Linked DNA regions of Schizosaccharomyces pombe. The gene in region 4 interacts genetically with the main gene of each other region. Each region holds a gene or a part of one and is shown on either strand. Other genes may lie near its edges.

Region 1 (6,416 bases), 4.7 Mb from region 4:
TGCCGGTGTTACTGCTTCTTCTTGCTTTCCTGTGGATGTTAAATCTCCATCTGTGAGAGCTTTCGGAAATGTAACATTCCAATCAGATTGAATTGCTGAAATGAAAGGTTTCTCTTACGTTCCAGTTCGCTTTCTTTTAAGTGATTGCCTTCGTAGGATTGCTTCTTTTTTTTTCGAGCGCAGATGATTTTACCCTTTTTTTCCCAACTTTACTCTTTTTTGTTAGAGTTGTTGAAAGCTCATCCTATTCCTCGCATGCATCCTAATTTTTATGTTCTTAATGCTTTAGCAGTCCATTCCAGTTTTTTTTTTCCTATTACATTAAATATTTACTCATTTATTTTTATATTTCACTATTTCACAAATTTTGGAAACGCGTTCATATATCCTATCTTAATCTATACGGCTTTTTAATTACAATTATATACATTTTCTACAAATGATTTAGTATTCAAGAATATTATATATTATTGAACTTTATCCTGTTGTTGTCACCAACACTTGTAGTATATTCGACAACTATATACAAATATTTTTAAAAACTTTGTTATTAGTAAGAAATTAAGATGTAAAAGACAAACTATTTATATTACCATTAATAAATTATCTAACTAATTCGTGTGCTGTATTTCCTGTAATTGTGAGATGGTGCCATTAGCCCTGAAATGCTGGACACCATTAGCTTTCTTGACAGTATCTACTCGTTCAGAAGGGGGTCCATATCCACCACCGCCAGGTGTCATAATAACAATATGGTCACCAGCTTGCATATGGCATGTGTTTTTACCGCCAACGTTGATTTGTCGAACTCGTTGCTCTCCTGAAGGTAAGATATCCTTTCGAATCCAAATGTTTTTACCGCATTCGGCATCTTTACCTCCTTTCATACCGTATGGATGATAGGCACGACGCTCTGAAAGTATGGAAAGGGTAACTGGAATTCTGAATTCAATATCGCGAATAACACCATCACCACCTTTGTACTTTCCTGCGCCGCCAGAATTTTCACGAATGATAAACTTTCTCAAAATGACAGGGTATCTTCTTTCAAGTACCTCCAAATCAGTAATTCGGGTGTTAGTCATATGAGTATGAACACCAGAAGTTCCGTCTAATCCATCAATTGCACCAGATCCACCGCAAATAGTCTCATAGTATCCAAATCCTGGTTTCACTTCACCGGTCTCTGGATCTTTACCGCCAATTCCAAATGTCAAATTGTTTGTGTCACCCTGACTAGCTGCACATGCTTGGAATGCCTTGAGAATAGTATCAGTGATTCTTTGCGACGTTAGCACATTTCCACCTACTACAGCAGCTGTTTCAGAGGGTTTCAAAAAGCAGTTATCAGGAATGATAACTTTAATTGGAAGCAGACATCCTTGATTAAGTGGGATATTTTCAGATATCAAAACACGTAAACAATAAATGATGGCGCTATAAGTTACTGCCTCCGGGGCGTTAATATTTCCATAGATTTCTTCAGTTGTACCAGTAAAATCAAATATGGCATCGCCGTTTTCTTCATCAATAGTGATGCGTAAGCATATCTTTGACCCATCGTCCATATGATCCTCAGCGTATAAATCCTCACCTAAAAATCTTTCACGTACTCCAAGCAATAATTGTCTAACGGCGCTTTCCGCATTTTCTTGAATTGCCTTCATATAACGTAAAACAGAATTTTTTCCGTACTCCTTGATTAAAGATGTAATTAAATTGATTCCCTTTTGGTTTGCGGAAACTTGAGCCTTCAAATCATTTAGGTTATCGCGAAGACAGCGACTGCCTGAACCACCCTCCACTTTTGCCGGTTCATTGTAGAGTAAATCAATCATGCGTTCTTCCTGAAAAACTCCATCAACCACAAGTTTTTCGCTCTTAATAGTTGCTCCTTCTTCAGAAAGCTCTTTACTAGAAGAAGGCATGCTACCAGGTAGAATACCACCGATGTCAGCGTGATGGGCACGCGCAGCAACGTAAAACATGATCTCGTCCCCTTCGAAATGAGGAGTAATAGTAGTGATATCAGGCAAATGAGTACCACCATATGATGGATGATTGGTAACAAGAACATCACCAGGTTTTAGTTTCCCTTCGTGAATTTTTGCTTGTGTGCGGACACAAGTAGACATAGAACCTAGATGAACCGGCATATGAGGTGCGTTAGCTACAAGATTTCCTTTCGCATCGAATAGTGCACACGAATAATCAAGACGCTCTTTAACATTAGTGGAGACACTCGTTTTCTGAAGAGCCCTTCCCATTTGTTCAGCTACAGCCATAAACCGAGATCCAAATACAGAAAGGTAAATAGGATCAATTGTACTTGCTTTAGCGAGAGAATCGTTTGCCGTATATTCATTTCCATGAGAAATGTCAATTACAACGTGTGTATGCAAAATTCTAGCAACAGCTTTGGGAGGAACAACAATGGTTTGCGTTTTGTCGACTATCAAAGAAGGGCCATTCACTATTGTTCCAACAGGCAAGTTATCTAGGCTATAAACTTCAGAAGGGACACGTCCACCTTCGAAATAAATGTCCTTGACACATGTTGCTAGGCTCTTTTGAACAGGTTCGAACTTCAATTCTTTTAATTGAGCATCTACACTGGGCTCTTTGCTCTGGAAACTTTTTCCGGAAGCACGAATTCTGATATCATCAATAATTATATCTTTATTTTCAAAAATAAAACCGAACTCCTGCTTATGTTTATCAAAAAATGATTGCTTGAAATCCCAAGACTCAAGAGGCTTGCTAATCATCAAAGTGCTGTCAGTTCCTTGATACCGACAATTCAAAAATAACTCATAGCTAATTTGGCTTTCGGTAAATCCCTGCTCCTCAAGGTTAGCTTTCGCTTCTTCTTTAAGGCTATCAAAACGCTTCTTAATAGATTCAGTATTTGAGTCATCCAGAGTAAAGGAGGAAGGCTCTTGAACTTCAGACACGACATCAGCTAGTGCCATTCCATAAGCTGAAAGAATTGAACTATACTTGTGAACTAAAACCTGGGTAATACCGAGAGATTTGGCAATAGCTGCACAGTGTTGTCCACCAGCACCACCAAAAGAAGTCAAACGATGAATGGAGATATCGTGTCCTTTAGCTTCAGTAAGGGCGCGAATTGGGCGAGCCATAGTTTCGTTCGCTATCTTAATGAAGCCAAAAGCAACTTCATCGGCAGTCATTTGACGTTCTTTCTCAAGGCCAGAATTGATCTCAGCAGTCAATTTTTCAAACTCCTTTCTCGTCGACTCGACGTCTAGTGATTCATCCTCATTAGGACCAAAAATTTTAGGGAAAGACTCAGGTAAAAGTCTTCCTAACAGTAAATTTGCATCTGTAACAGTCAAGTACCCTCCCTTGCGATAGCATACTGGGCCAGGATGTGCACCAGCACTTTCTGGTCCAACAACAAAAAGGCCATTTTTCCAAAAAAGACGTGATCCACCGCCAGCGGCTACCGTATTTATATCTAATTGAGGAGATTGAATAGTAACTCCTGCCGTTGTCGTTTCAAAGACATGTTCATATGAACCACCATACCGAGAAACATCCGTAGATGTACCTCCCATATCGAATCCGATGACAGGAATTTTAACGTCCTCGTCATATGAGGTAAGTGCAAAACCTACGACACCGCCAGCAGGACCGGAGAGAATGGCATGTAAGCCTGAAAACTTATTAACGTCAACCAAACCACCGTCACTCTGCATGAACTCACAACGCACACCCTTTGAATTATCCTTTGTCTTTAAACCATGAAGGAATCCTGATTGAAACCCGGCAAGGTATCTTCTAACAACTGGAGAAAGGTAAGCATCAGCGGTAGCTGAAGTAGCACGAGGAACATATTTAATCATCGGCATTAATTTAGTTGAAAGACTGATATTGCTGAAACCAACCTCTTCAGCAATTTTACCAACAAGAAGTTCATGATCTGGAAATGTAAAGCTGTGGGCAAGGCAAACGGCGATACTGGTAAATCCTTCATCGTACAATGCTTGCAAATCTTTGCGAAGTGCATCGCAATCTACCTTTTTCATAATACGAACGACTTCACCAGAACGGCCAACTACTAGTGACGGGTCAGAGCCGTCAATTGTGGTTTTGACTTTCATTGGGTCTTCAACATAATCTTCTAGTGTTACACGCTCGTCAACTTCGATAACTTTAGAGTACAATACTTCAGGTCTTCGAATTCCCAACTCGAAAATATTAGGTCTAGATTGGTTGCCAATTAACAGACCATCTTTAAATCCTTTAGTCGTTATAAAAGCGCATCGTTCACCTTTTCGTTCCAATAAAGCATTGGTAGCAACTGTAGTACCACACCGTAAATGATTAATGCAACTGGTATCTAATTTTTCGGTTCGTGGGATCGATTTTCCTTGAACAATCTCTAAAATGCGTCGGACAGCTTCGATAGAAGCGTCCTTATAGTTACTAGGATCCTCTGAAAGTAATTTGATGACAATAGGAGGGCGAGATTCATCAGCAAAAGTGGCGATTGCGTCTGTAAAAGTACCACCTCGATCAATGTGAATTTTGACACTCATTTTTTAAATCCAAAATGTGTATTAAATCTATGTGTATGTATATGTAGGTAGAAAAAGAAAGCAAAAAATAAAAAACAGCACAAGTTAATGAATTAGGCAAGAATGATATCCATATATATACATAAATTATTAAATCATCACAATATTGTGTAGCAAAGATTGCCTCCTTATCAGACTGAAAGTTGGCGGAGCTCCGTATTCATTTGTGGAGTTCGGCGGAGTGGAGGAGCAGTATCGAAGCCTGCTGATATGGTCATGCAATTATTAGAGTATCTGAATTATCGATGAATCATTAAATTGATATTCAACATGCGTCTAATTAGAAAGTTTTGAGCTGGTCAATATGGAAGTATACTACAGAAATCCTACATATTTTATGTATTGGGTATCATTGTTAACAGTTTGCAAAATAAAGATCTTGACAATTAATTATTATAATAAAGCTTTAAAAATTTGCTAATTTGCAACTTTCCTGTCCGTTCCTAAATTGATTATCGATAAAGAATTGTATTTATCGCAATCATAAGTATCTCAACACTTGTAGTCCTAAGTATTTCATGATGTTTAAGATCTGCTGTTTGGCTATTCAAGGACTCCCTATCTACTTGCTTGGTACTATTGATATCGTAGATAGAACCAAATATGCGAAATCAGTAAAATTAATGTCAAAATACACTCTTTACTAGTAAAAATTAATAATTTATTGGTAATGATGTTAATTTAATTTAATTTGCTTGAATTATTATTCATTTTGATCTTTTTTGCGAAATTTATTTCGTAAAATGGTTTGTAAGATTGTTATCTGTTCTTTAGTAGGTACTTTGTGCACATGTTTCTTTAGATTAATTGAACTGTACTTATTATTTCTTGCTTTGATTAGAGTTAACTACAAACTCTCACATGAGGGATGCACTCGTAAATCTTTTTCTTGGGGCAGTTTATTCCACAATGCAAAAATGTACATACACGAATTATTAGTTTGATCGCTTCGGTTAAAAATCTAAATGGAGAGCACTAAATCTTTAAATGATAAGAATCATTCCTTACGACTATGGAATCCCCCATCTTGGTATAATTTTTTGGACGTTCAATGTCTCGGTCAAGGAGGAGCTCGTTTTACTTATCTTGACTGATTGGAACGTTGACTAGAGGTATAAAAGTTCGCAATTAGCATGCTGTAGTTATTCATTCATTCTTTAAGTTAAGAATAACCTTTTAATTTTTTTATAATGAAACAAGATGTGCGAATTGCGATTGATAGGGGTGGAACCTTCACCGATGTTTACTATAAGATATCTGGATGGAGGGAGCAAGAAGGGATTTTCAAGTTGCTTTCTGTAAACCCTAAATTATACGACGATGCTCCAACTGAAGGAATTAGAAGAGTGTTGTGTTATGCGTCCGGCGAAGAAATACCTCGTAAAGTCCCTTTAGACTTGACAAGAGTATCCTCTATACGTATGGGTACAACTGTTGCGACGAATGCTTTGTTAGAACGTAAGGGTGAAAAAACCGCCTTCATAATCACGGAAGGTTTTCGAAATTTGGTAGAAATCGGAAATCAAGCTCGCCCGGACTTATTCGACCTCACAGTATCAAGGCCTTCACCATTATATCAACGTGTCATAGAAGCAAAAGAGAGAGTTGTCTTAGAAAACCAATTCTCAAAGACAGCTGGTATTGTTCAAGGAATTACAGGAGAATTTTTGCGAGTGGAAAAGAAATTGGATGAAGAAGCGTTATATCAAGATCTAAAGGAATTATACAATGAAGGGTTTCGCTCCATTTCTGTCAGTCTTATGCATTCTTATACATATCCTCTTCATGAAGAGGTAGTTGAAAAAATTGCCA
Region 2 (2,907 bases), on a different chromosome or scaffold from region 4:
TGGCCGATGGTTTCAAATTGAATGACTTCCGTTTAGTAATCAACAATTCCAACAAATTTATTTTACTGTTTGCTAACACATTATTCTACATAGGTGGATTGGAAGCTGTTTCAATAACAACCGAAGAATCTTTCCTCTTTTTACATTATGTTTACATAATTGAAGAAATGGGAAAGGGCAAAAAAATTAAACCATATTTATCGAGTTGATTACGCATATGTTTCGGCTTTTTCCTTTAGTTTTTTTTTAGTTTCGGTTAGTTCATGATTTATTGACATTACACGGTAGTCTTCTATAATAATCCTACTTAATAGAAGATAAAGCTCTTTTTTTCTCTTCTTTGAAGATTCCTAGTTGATTTCCCACATAAAAGAACGTTGAAATGGGTTACACAAAAAAGGACAACAACAGCCATAGTACGTAGATATTGTATTGATTTCGGCACAAAGTATGACTTTTCAAAAAATTACATAAGGTTTTTTTTCTTCGGTTGCAGAGTCCAATTTTTACCATCAATCATTACATACTTCATATACTTAGTCAAAAAAAAGCATGTTAACGATTATAGATCAATGGCCGGCAAAGTGATTTTAAAACGAATGAAGACTTAAAAATAAAAACATCAAGCGCCTGCCTAAAACAAGTATTATGTCTCACCAGCTTCCTTTTCTTTATTTAACCCTTTTTTCTCGAGCACTTTAGATAGCAATTGCGCTTCATGGCGATACCGCTGAATGTCTCTTTCAACGTTGTAAATTTTCACAGCATACATTTCGCATTCCTTTTCAATTTCCGAGACTTTTCTTCGAATCCTTGCGGTTTTACGCCGATACACGTCCTCTATACGTCGAGTTCATTAGCAAAAAGTCGTCAGACAAAAATCGGTACACACCTTCAGTTTCTTGAAGCAAATTTACCACCTACGCGGTCAATAAATAATTACAAATAGGTAATAAACCTCCTACCTGTGGATCCATTCCCGAAAGCTTCACGTTCTCAGTTTCTGGTGAAGAATGCAAAGCTAGTTTGCTTAAAATCTGTATTGTATTTAACGAAAAACTGCTTACTTCGTTATAGAAGATTGCCTACTACATTACGCAACCAAGGGTTTATAACGATACGAACCGAAACCGTTATCTAGTTTTCTTACCCATCAGCTGGGTATTGCTAGTGAAAAACAAATGTCTAATATAAAGCTAATCCTTTTTTGGCTGACTTCTCTTATCCATTCATATTACATTTTTGCTTCTTTTGGGTAGAAAAAGAATGGATCATGTCTCACATTTACAATACGAAAGTCAAATTTCAATAAACAAAGGTACATCATACATGTGAACAAATATTTCAAAAACGATTTATGATCATTTCATAACAAAGAATCATGAATTTACTTCGGATAAGTTCAAAAATGATATTGTCAGCCACTGATTCAGAGTAAATCTGTCATTCGTTTTATAAATGCACTGTCATAAACGAATACTTCCAGCAGAACCAGGCTCCGGTTGCACAGAAAATTTCAAGTAATAAAGCAGTGTCTCATTGGCAAAATAATTTTCAGAAGGGAAAAAGCGAAATAAAACAGAAAGAACCTTCTGAAAGAAAATTGAAACCAAATAATGTTCAACAACGAAATAAAAACAAACAGAAATGATAAAAAGATAATAAAAAATACAAGGGTTTCACCTTGCTTCTAGCATTGAATTGAAACAATACAGACATTTATGAGTGGGCTGAAATTAAATAAAGAGGGGCGAGGAGGAAAATTAGAAAAAAGAGAAGGGGTCAAAGAGGTTTTAGACGTATATTTTTTGGTAATATAAACCAGTCTAAGATAGAGGAGTTAATATTTCATGAACAAAAGCACATAGAAATTGTTTAAAAACAACGGCAATAATAAGAACCCGGATACACAATCCAAGTATTAAATTAAAGATCCCTTCAAGTACCCAAGAAATTAAGTTATTAATCAAATAAAATAATAAACAAAGACAAAGAAGCAGAGTTTCACTTAAATAATTGTCAAATAAAAATCGACATGTTTTTTTCGACCAAAAAAAAAGAAAACTTAAAAAGAACGAAAAATAATAATTATGGGGAGATATTAAAGCGGGCATTTGTTTTAAAAGCAAAAACTTTTTTAAAAATTGGATTCAAGCAAATTCTTCCAATATGGCTCTTGCCAAATATCATCATTCCAAATTGACTGTGGAACAAGAGAGTTAAGTTGAATGAGAATGTGAAAATCTTGAATAGCTTGAGCAAGTCGTTCATCCTCCCCATCTTCTTCGTTCGTAGATAGTATATAATCGTTAAAAGACTTGTCGCCTTTTAAATCATCGTTACACTTGATAAAATCGTCATAAACAACTTTCCATGCATCAAAATCTTTAAAAGCTTTAAAGAAAACCTTGTTGCTCAGCATGGAAGGGAGAGCAACGCTAATCCATTTAGCATAATCAATTCCATTCGACCAGCTATGCCTCCACAGATATACAAATATGTCCATAAGACCAGAGGCTTGTGCATATTGGCTGTCATCTTCGGTCAACCACAAACACAAGGTAGCCACAGCACTGATTACAGTTACATGTGATGCTAAATTGTCACGGTTTTTATTGTTATCCCATGCATCACGAAGAAAATCCATCGTATCGCTAAACAACTCAGTAAGCGATCGCTGAAGTTGGAAAAATTTATCAGGCTCAATTCTTTGGGCAAGAACGTCACAATTTTCACATAGATATCGAATGAGGAGTCCAAGAACTTCATAGCATTCACAAACCGTGTACGACACAGTTCCATGCTTTCCTTTCTGACCAACTGCCTTAACTAGCATTCCCAGACTTCCTCGAATCTCAGCAGAGCAGCGACCAATCACCAAAATCATAAACCCATCATTTGGCATAA
Region 3 (4,968 bases), on a different chromosome or scaffold from region 4:
TTTACATCCTTTTAGTTATAAACATATATAGTGCTGTATTGCTTTTTGGATTGTTCGGCGAAGGTTTTTTTTTGCATTGATCAACAGGTGATGAAATTTCCATTGAACATTCGCAGTTTCCCCGGAGCGGCATACGAACCCAATTTTGCCGCAGATGTCGTGCATAGTCCTTCCTTTGGATGTCTGATGTTGATCTTGCAAATTTTTCCTTTTTTTTTTTTTAATTAAATTTTTTTGTGTTGTGTTTGGCTTGTAGTTGTAGTGGTGATAAAGGTTGATTATCATGTTCTCCAATATAGAGTAGTTAAACTTTTTCTTGTTGTGATGGAAATTGTAGTCTGGTTGATTTATTGAATTCAGTCTATTTAGAATTGCTTGAAAATACTCTTAATAAAATTGTTGCAATGCGTAGAATGGCAATTAACTCTACATAGGTTAAGTAGTCTTTCTATAAAGTAAATAAATCATCTCTAAAAATTTGAAAGCATGTTTAGACAATATACATACAGAAACGCATCAGATTAACTAGAATGAAGACAAAAATATTAAACGTTTGGAAAATTATCTACAAATTAAATGCCAGATTTATCATCCGTATTTTCTAAAGACGCATCACTGTCCCCAGTTCGATCCAATAAATTTGAGATCTCTTTTAGAAACGAGGTTTCTGTTGTAGGAGCCAGCAAAACAGCGAGGAGAGTTTCACTTTTGGGGAAAGAAGATAATGAAATATTTCCAGCTTCCACTAAGCTCAAAAGTCGACGCACCGTAGATATGCCACTCTGAATCACATAACGAAAAGGATTCGTAGTAGGATACTGCGATGCTACACGTGATGGTGGATTAAGGGAAGGATGACCTGATAATAGTATGAGTAGGCGTAACATGGAAACAAAAAATCCCTCGCCTATATTACACCAATTTGCCGCTTGTTCCGATTGTTTAACATAGGAAACGGTAGCTGCTAAACAAAAAAATGACTGCTGCAATAAGGGTAACCTTCGCTCGCATATTTTAAGGCAGTGGCGGTTAAATTTTGGGACAACAGAAGCAAGAAGTAGAAAAAGGGAGTCTAAAAATTTTGGATTGTTATCAAAAATAGCTTGAAAGTTTGTCTTGTTGTTAGCATCTTTGGCTAGTAATTTGGCATAGGCATTAATGGCGGGACCAGCATAGGGATGGGTAGCAGGTGTGTAACTAGGTATAGAGGTTGGAAGGGTGTCATTTAAAATAGTTTTACTCTTCTTTCTGTTAAATGGAGAAAAAGACAAAATAAATAGTAAAACGTGACGAGCAACGTCGACATTCGGTAGAATGAAATTTTGAGAAAGTTGACAAAGTACGATTAATACATCTTTATGCAAATCCAAGGTATTTCTTGATGAACGTAGAAGGGAAGTGGCATGAAAATTAAGACTTTTGACTACACGAATGAGTAGAGGAAAAAAATCTGGATTTTGTACCAAAACGTTTTGGTTGGCCTCAAAGTGAGAGAGATTTCTAAAAATAACGAAAACAGCTAACAAATTTTGCTCCGAATTATGAACATCAATAGCATTGATGCTATCTTTTGTTTTGTTTTCGCTTAGTGAATTTGAAAAGTCTTCTCTGGAGAACTGCGATATCTCTACGCAACAATTGTAAAGAAGTTGTCTATAAGAAGGACGTTTATCGGCGATTTCCATTAAATCCTCATTAGGAAGAACAGATAGCAGATTATCAAGGCACTGAGTTGCAACGTCAATCAACGCATCAACTACATCCTGGCACTCACTTAACGGAAACATCCATTTTTGATCATTTGTTAATATAAGTAAAACGTTCATTGCATACGTTATTTCTTTTTCCAAAGTAGATTGCAGGCTCATGCACAAGGCTTGAATGTTTACAGTCCCCAGATCTACGATTGAAGGCATCTGAAGCCGAAGCAAAGATTCATCGAGCCTATACGTGGCCGCGACATTCAAGGGATAACCCAACATAGGATCGATGGGCTTTTTTATCGGTTGATAAGCAACGGGTTCGGCAGAATCAACAGGAGCTGCCGAAGAAGAAGTTTGAACGGTGGGCGGAGTGGGTCGAGTCGGAGCAGAAGGGTATGGTGGAGCATTTCTTTCAGAACTAACTGTGGTAGGAGCAGCTGGAGAGAAACGATTAGCGGTGAATGCTGGGGAGGGTGACTTTGAGTGAAGTGATCCATGCATAGAACCATTGGCATGTACAGCTTCTGGGGTGGTTTGGACCGGCTTTTGTGGATAGTTTTTTGGTCTGCTTTGAACATTCGCAGAATGATTAGCTTTTGCTTGTTGAAGTGATTTTTGTTGCTGTTGAGCAGCAAGCCATGCTTCTTCATATGGAAGCAGATAGGAATTGTAATATTGAATTAGAAGGGAAATAGCATCAGGAGATGGAAACCCCAAGGAAGCAGAAATTTTTGGCCAAAAATTATGAGCTGAGACTTGTCGAGATCCACCGGCACGCATAACCAAGGCGTACAGCATCATTAAATTAATAGGCGTATTATTTATTTGAGGATAAGATTTGATTGGCGTCCCCCGCTTTTCCATAAAAGAAATAAGGCTAACCATGAATTTGTCAAAACTAGCAGCATAAGCAGGCGTTAGTTGATTAGCATTACCAGAGGGAGTATTTGGGGAAGGTGCAGGTTGAGGAGTTTGTCTTACAGCTGGGTGGGCATTGATGCCAATTTGATTAGGAGGAATTTGTTGAGAGAGTAAGGCCTCTCTGCTTTGCATTTGTCGTTGATAAAGTTGTTGCTGCTGTTGCTGTTGTTGTTGCTGCTGCATTGCAGCCTCTTTTTCTTGTTGAAACGGGATCCGACTTGAAGGCATCATGGGACTAGAGTATTTCACAGATCCAGAGCCATTCCATGCACCGTTAGAGGCGAAATCAAATGATTGATTTGGCAAATTACGTTGAGTTGATGGAGATTGTCGGAAGGGCTGTGAATGAGCCAAATTGTTAGGCTCATTCTCGGAAGTATTCATCATGTTTGCATTTCCATATTCTGCTGCATACATCCCTTGGCTTGTCGAAAAGCGTTGAGGATACGCAGGTTGTTCTTCCTGAGTATTATAACTTTGACCTTGCGTGGGATATGATACTGCGGTTGGATAATCACTCGCAGGAACAAACCCTTGATTATTCATGATTCCTCATACTAAATCAAACAAAGAGTAAAGGGACCTTAAAATACACGTTTCAATATATTAACGTCTAAGGCGCTTGGCAGCTGAAAGTGCTTGAAAAGCAGACGAAGTGCATATAACGAGTTGTTTAGTGCTGCCTTTAAGAACCTAATCTGTGTGTTTCAGAAAATGCTTAAATTCCTAAAAAATCTTTACACTCATTCCTTTAAATCTCGCAAACGTGATTTCTTGCCTTTGCAGTGTCTCTTATTTCCAAGTCAATGACAATTGTTAGCATTGGGAAGCATTTATCGATTAGTCAGGTATCTAAAATTTTAAAAACAAAATAATATCTTATTCCTCTTGTAATAGAAACAATATTTATTAACTTGCTCTGTTAGTAGACTTGGCGAAACTGTAAACAATCACGAGTACAACATCTTCTTCTTGCGGAAACAGATATTTTTTTAATAAATTATTTTTTTTTTTTTTAAAATAGTAAAAGCATATGAGTTAACATATTCGAGATCCCGTTATCCTCCTTTTCTTTCTTTTTTTTTTTTTTTTTTTTTTGAAAGGAGCAATCAAAATTGACACATTAATTCAAATTTATCTGGTCTAACCTTTTTTTTATTTTTTATTCATTATTTTTCCTTCTTTCTTTCTGGCTACATAAGACTCGACGCAATGTCATTTTATAAATTTCATTGTTTTCTATAAACGTGCTTTCATATGTGTAAACCTATTGATGAATGAAACAAGATAGTAGAATATGGTAATTTCTATTATCAAGCAATTGGATTTAGGTTGTTGAACTCTATGGACAAGGGCTTGTACGTGTAAAATATATATGTTTATGACTTAATTATTTACTTTTGCAAATCTATGGTTTCAAGTCAACTCGCAAAAGGAATATCCGATTCAAGAAGGAAAAAAACTAAATACTACAATAAAAAAAGGTTTGTAGTATTTGAGATAAAGATGGAGATGCTATATTGCACATGTAGAATTTGATGGCATAAACAAGAATTAGATTTGAAACAAAAGTCAACTAACACAACTTTCAAGTCCACGTATAAAGCGATTTCTATTCTGACGGTTCATAAAATGTTTAATGAGCTTGCAAACTAAAACCAAGTAATTCGGAAATTAGGTATTTACAAGCTGATAATTAAAATGTGAACCCTTGAATTATTGATAATGAATTATAGATTTTATTAGTTTTAATTCCTTTTTTAAGTAATTTATCAAGTATAGTCCAACTATTTATTTACAAATATTGGTATATTAGGGTGTTTTAATAGAAAAAAAAACAAAAATTAAGCGAAGAAAAGTATTACATTAACAAGCCTGAAAAAGAAGCAAACAAACTAATTAAAAGATGTTAACTATATCAAACTTAAGAGAAAATTATTTAATAAATAAAACCGGAATTAAAAATTCTCTATAACGATGTTAGAGAAATTGTTCTAGTTACGTCGGTGTCCTTCAAAATCTGCCCTTAACCACAATCCCTGTAGGAAAACTATGGATGACATTCCAACTCTTCTTGCGAGAACATTAAACCCTACGACTTCCAAAAGTGGTAAGATACCCCAACAGAGTGGATAAAGCAAATTTACTAACTGATATAGCTGAGGAAGCACTGAAAGTATGGGAATTACAAGATAGTTCTTTTGCACTAAAACTCCTCAATATTGTCGCTGAGGATACAGTAGACATCAATATTAAGCTGGCCGCTTCATTGTATTTCAAAAATTACATTAAAAAACATTGGGATTCTGAGGAAGGTGCTTCTATTCGTATCAGCGATGAGGTG
Region 4 (4,146 bases):
TTCAATCCTCCATGGAATTTATTTTCTGAAGCTGATGTCGATTTCGTACTCAGAAAAGAAGATAAAGAATTTGATCGTTTACGTAGAGTACTATGAGCATCGCGATCCCTTGATGATAGCATCTTAAAGAAATCCTGCTCCGATTTCTTCCTATTGCCAACATATGGGAGATCCAAAGCAGCATTATCTAAGGTTTTACTCCTCGTCTGAGCAACTGCGTTTTCTGAGCAATCGGGCAGGCAAAATGGACTTACTGCTCTGTTGGAGTCTCCTAAGTTGACCGATTCAGGCGACGTTACCATTTCACAATTCATTATGATATCTATTTAAGGATTTACACCGCCATTGGCTTTTTGATCATTATGTTGATATTTAAAAGTTCTTCGGTTTTTCGGTTTTCATTCAGCAACAATACGCCGTGTATGTGTCAATAAAGATAAGTGGATAGCACTCAAAATTGCATATGAGCATAGATTCAATCCACCACTTTAAATCAAGTAAGCCTGATATTATTATAGGGACAAAAATTAGTTGTTTTCGGAACTTTTACCTCTTATATCGTAGGAGCTTACATCCGAGACTTTTGTTAACGTTAGTGGCAAGCGCGCTTTGGTTTAATACGCAATTATGAATAAGAACGTGTTCAATCACAGAAAATCGATTATCGGAAACGCTGTGACTATCACTAAGATGAATTGCAAACAATCGAGTTCGAGAAAACCGTTGGGCTTTATTCAATTGATCTGCGTTTTTGTTCACTCATTAAAAGCCATTTCTCTGAGTATTACTATGAATGGTTTTTTTCTGTTTTATTTTACACTAAAGTGATGATAGAAAAATTAATTTATCAATTAGTAACTAAATATTCGATTGCTCATAAGGAACTCACTGTTCATGTTAACGAATGAAGTTTAATATCGTCGGAAATTAATAGCCTCTCAAACATTTATTTCTTATACTGGTTTATTTTGTTCCCGATTAAAAGTAATGTAGATAATTTTCTCGGAACGTTTCTAAGTTATAATGTGTTCAGTCAACATAGTCTAATGGCCTAGTTTAAACTCTCATCCAAATAATTCTGATAGAGCAAGAACTTGGTGCAATTAAACTAGTGCATATCGACAGTCATTTTTATTTTATCAAACCCTAATACTTACCATTTCAGTAACTTAGAAGGTAACCTCAAAGCATCAACACCTTGAGAATCGTTTGAAGCAGTACTTAGTTTATTGAAAAAATTTGGCAAGGTTAACTCCTAAAGGCGACTTCACAACCATTTATAGAGAAGAACGAAAAATTCCAGATTGCAAATAAGGTGTTCATAGTATTTGCAGGCTTGAAACAACATAAAATCGATTTGGTCTTTAATGGAAACAATCAGAACCTTATTTACAACATAGGAATGAAGAATTACAGTAGCTTAATAATATGTTAATGTTTTAAGAAGTTGTTGTGTATTGCTGGAATTCATGGAAATAGTGTTACTATCGCATTTTATTATTGCAATATATTGTTACACGTTAACTCAACTATTTTCTATTAATTACAGTAAGAATAAGGACCCGTTCATCATGACTATTGCTAGTATTTTTTTTTACAAAAAATCTTCAGTAAGGAGGATACTCGTTTTTTGGGTGGTAGTGTTTTGTTAATACGCTCCATGCATGTACTTGTTGACACGTCCAAAGCATTGTTGCTTAGATTTTTTGTTAATGGCTGAAATACAGACAGCTCAAAATCCTTTAAAGGAACTGGAGAAAATTTTAGAGAGGAATAATAAGCAAAAAAATAAAAAGAGCAGAAACCAAGTTCGTCGAGAGAAAAAAAAATTACTACGTGAAAAGACAAATTCTGGTGCTAAATTGGCAGAAAAAAATAGTGATGACAAGGACCAGTTGACTGAAAATAATGACAACCTATACAATGATAAAAAATCTAATGGAAACTTCTATGATACAAACAAAACTGATAGTGTTGACGGGATGGTCTATACTACAATCGTCGATTCTGTAGAATTAGATCCTAATGATCCGCTAATAGAGCAATTTAAAGATGTCTTTAATCGTTTCAAAGCTGATGGTCAAGAAAAAGATTTCGAAGATACCGACAAGGGCCAAATAATGTATTCTGACGATGAAATTTTGAGTGAAGGCGAAGAAGACGCTTTACAAAAACAACAGGAGGAAAAACTTAGTAAAAAGAAATTGAGAAAGTTAAAAAGGATGACTGTTGCTCAACTGAAGATGCTCTCCGAGAAAGCAGATGTCGTCGAATGGTGGGATGTTTCGTCGCTTGATCCTTTATTCCTCACACATCTAAAAGCATATCCTAATACTGTTCCTGTTCCCCGTCATTGGAACCAAAAAAGAGATTACTTGAGTGGCCAAAGAGGTATAGAACGTCAACTCTTCGAGTTACCCTCGTATATTCGTGCTACTGGCATAGTTCAAATGCGTAATGCTGTGCATGAAAATGAAGCTGATATGCCTTTGCGTCAAAAAATGCGTGAGCGTGTCCAACCAAAAATGGGAAAGCTTGACATTGATTATCAAAAGCTTCATGATGCCTTCTTTCGCTACCAAACAAAACCGGTGCTAACCGGTTTTGGCGAATGCTATTTTGAAGGAAAAGAATTAGAAGCTGATGTGAAAGAAAAGAGGCCCGGCGACATTTCGGAGGAGCTCCGTGAAGCCTTGGGAATTGCTCCAGGAGCACCTCCTCCTTGGTTATTTGCTATGCAGAGATACGGGCCTCCTCCAAGTTATCCAGATCTTAAAATTCCCGGTGTGAATTGTCCAATTCCGACTGGAGCGCAGTGGGGATTTCATCCTGGTGGTTGGGGAAAACCTCCTGTGGACCAATTTAATCGTCCTCTTTATGGCGACGTGTTTGGTAATGTCAAACCTCGAATACATGCTGGTACAGGTTCGCCTGTGAGCACTCAGCATTGGGGTGAATTGGAGGAGTTTGAGGAAGAAGAATCTAGTGAAGAGGAAGAGAGCGAAGACGTAGAATATCCTACTGAAGAAATTACTGAACGTGAAACGATTGAGGAATATCAGTCAGCGTCAGAGCCTAGGTCACAGAGGGAAGATTTGCATGCAGAGCCCTTAACGTATTTTAATCAATCTAATGTAGAGGTTGACAATGTTGAATTACGAAAAAATACTCAACCAAGTAGTGATGCTGCTAATCGAGACTTATATCAAGTTTTACCTGAAAAATCTACTAATATCTCAGGTTTCATGGGTCCTCAGCATCAATACGACATTCCTACCGCTGAAGATACTCTTCCACAAAAAAGGAATGCACATTCCATGCTCTCATCAACCAACAAAGGAGATGTTGCGTTAAATCAAAGTTCTAATTGGCAAGATGAGCTTTCGGAGTTGGTGTCTGAGCAGGCTATGAAGGTTGGTGCTGCGAAACGACAGAAAACACAAAGCAAGAGAGACAAGTTTCGTCTTTAAATTATTATCTACAGTGTACATTAGTTAATCTATATGACAGTATTATTGTTAAGCTCCATACATTATTCAAGTATTAATTATTATTTGTAAGTGAAAATAAAAAAAACCCCAATTTATACCCTAGCTAAAATATATTTTATATACTGTTTTTTTGAAGATGGAAGTCTTTGTGACTATATTTTTCCTTGATCTTTGCACGATACTTTGATTTCTTCAATACTGGCAAAGATGGAGGAACCATTGCTCTTTGTTGTAAACTTAAATAGCGATCGGCAAACAAATTTCCTTCAGGCTTCAGCTCTCTAAGGGAACTAGTCAGCTCATCTCCCAACTTTATTTCAAGTGGGTTGTTAGGCAATCGATGTTTACCGAATTTTTTCTTCTTCAGTTTGATTTCAGTTGTGCTAGAAGAAACAGCCTTATTAGAGAATTTCTCAGCTTTATCCTTTTGCTGCAGTTTTTTGGATATTGCAGGAGCTTTGTCGATCGTCCTCAGAAGCTCTTCATTTTTCTTTTGCTCAAGTAATCTAAGCTCCTCCTCTCTTCTTTGGCGTATCTTATTTCTTTGAGACCTGGTTTTTCGTTTGTTCTTCGAAGAAGGGATCGGAGTTTCTGCTTGTTCGTGTTCAGACTGGTCATCAGAATCAATGCTGTGATTAACGTCTTGGTCTGAAAC

What was found.
Region 1: mutations in sap145 (region 4) and SPOM_SPAC11D3.15 together harm fitness more than expected from each alone (negative genetic interaction), as found in Schizosaccharomyces pombe (one large-scale study listed by BioGRID).
Region 2: mutations in sap145 (region 4) and hap2 together harm fitness more than expected from each alone (negative genetic interaction), as found in Schizosaccharomyces pombe (one large-scale study listed by BioGRID).
Region 3: mutations in sap145 (region 4) and sol1 together harm fitness more than expected from each alone (negative genetic interaction), as found in Schizosaccharomyces pombe (one large-scale study listed by BioGRID).

What each region holds. Positions count from the first base shown.
Region 1 is NC_003424.3:134,480-140,895, reverse strand, and holds SPOM_SPAC11D3.15 (ATP-hydrolizing 5-oxoprolinase), read right to left. Parts: upstream 4,652-6,416; 5' UTR 4,566-4,651; coding exon 612-4,565; 3' UTR 531-611; downstream 1-530. Other genes in the region: SPOM_SPAC11D3.16C (uncharacterized protein), read left to right, coding at 1-91; SPOM_SPAC11D3.14C (oxoprolinase), read left to right, coding at 5,795-6,416.
Region 2 is NC_003421.2:660,205-663,111, forward strand, and holds hap2 (Ino80 complex subunit), read right to left. Parts: upstream 1,006-2,907; 5' UTR 978-1,005; coding exon 966-977; intron 921-965; coding exon 893-920; intron 841-892; coding exon 647-840; 3' UTR 536-646; downstream 1-535. Other genes in the region: sif2 (Sad1-interacting factor 2), read left to right, coding at 94-117; protein asi1, read right to left, coding at 2,138-2,907.
Region 3 is NC_003423.3:1,308,555-1,313,522, forward strand, and holds sol1 (SWI/SNF complex subunit Sol1), read right to left. Parts: upstream 3,249-4,968; 5' UTR 3,171-3,248; coding exon 573-3,170; 3' UTR 518-572; downstream 1-517. Other genes in the region: karyopherin/importin beta family nuclear export signal receptor Kap109, read left to right, coding at 4,677-4,734, 4,784-4,968.
Region 4 is NC_003424.3:4,803,954-4,808,099, reverse strand, and holds sap145 (putative U2 snRNP-associated protein Sap145), read left to right. Parts: upstream 1-1,680; 5' UTR 1,681-1,712; coding exon 1,713-3,470; 3' UTR 3,471-3,587; downstream 3,588-4,146. Other genes in the region: phosphoinositide phospholipase C Plc1, read right to left, coding at 1-314; rRNA processing protein Rrp16, read right to left, coding at 3,607-4,146. UniProt on the Schizosaccharomyces pombe protein: Involved in pre-mRNA splicing. May be involved in endoplasmic reticulum-associated protein degradation (ERAD) and required for growth at low and high temperatures.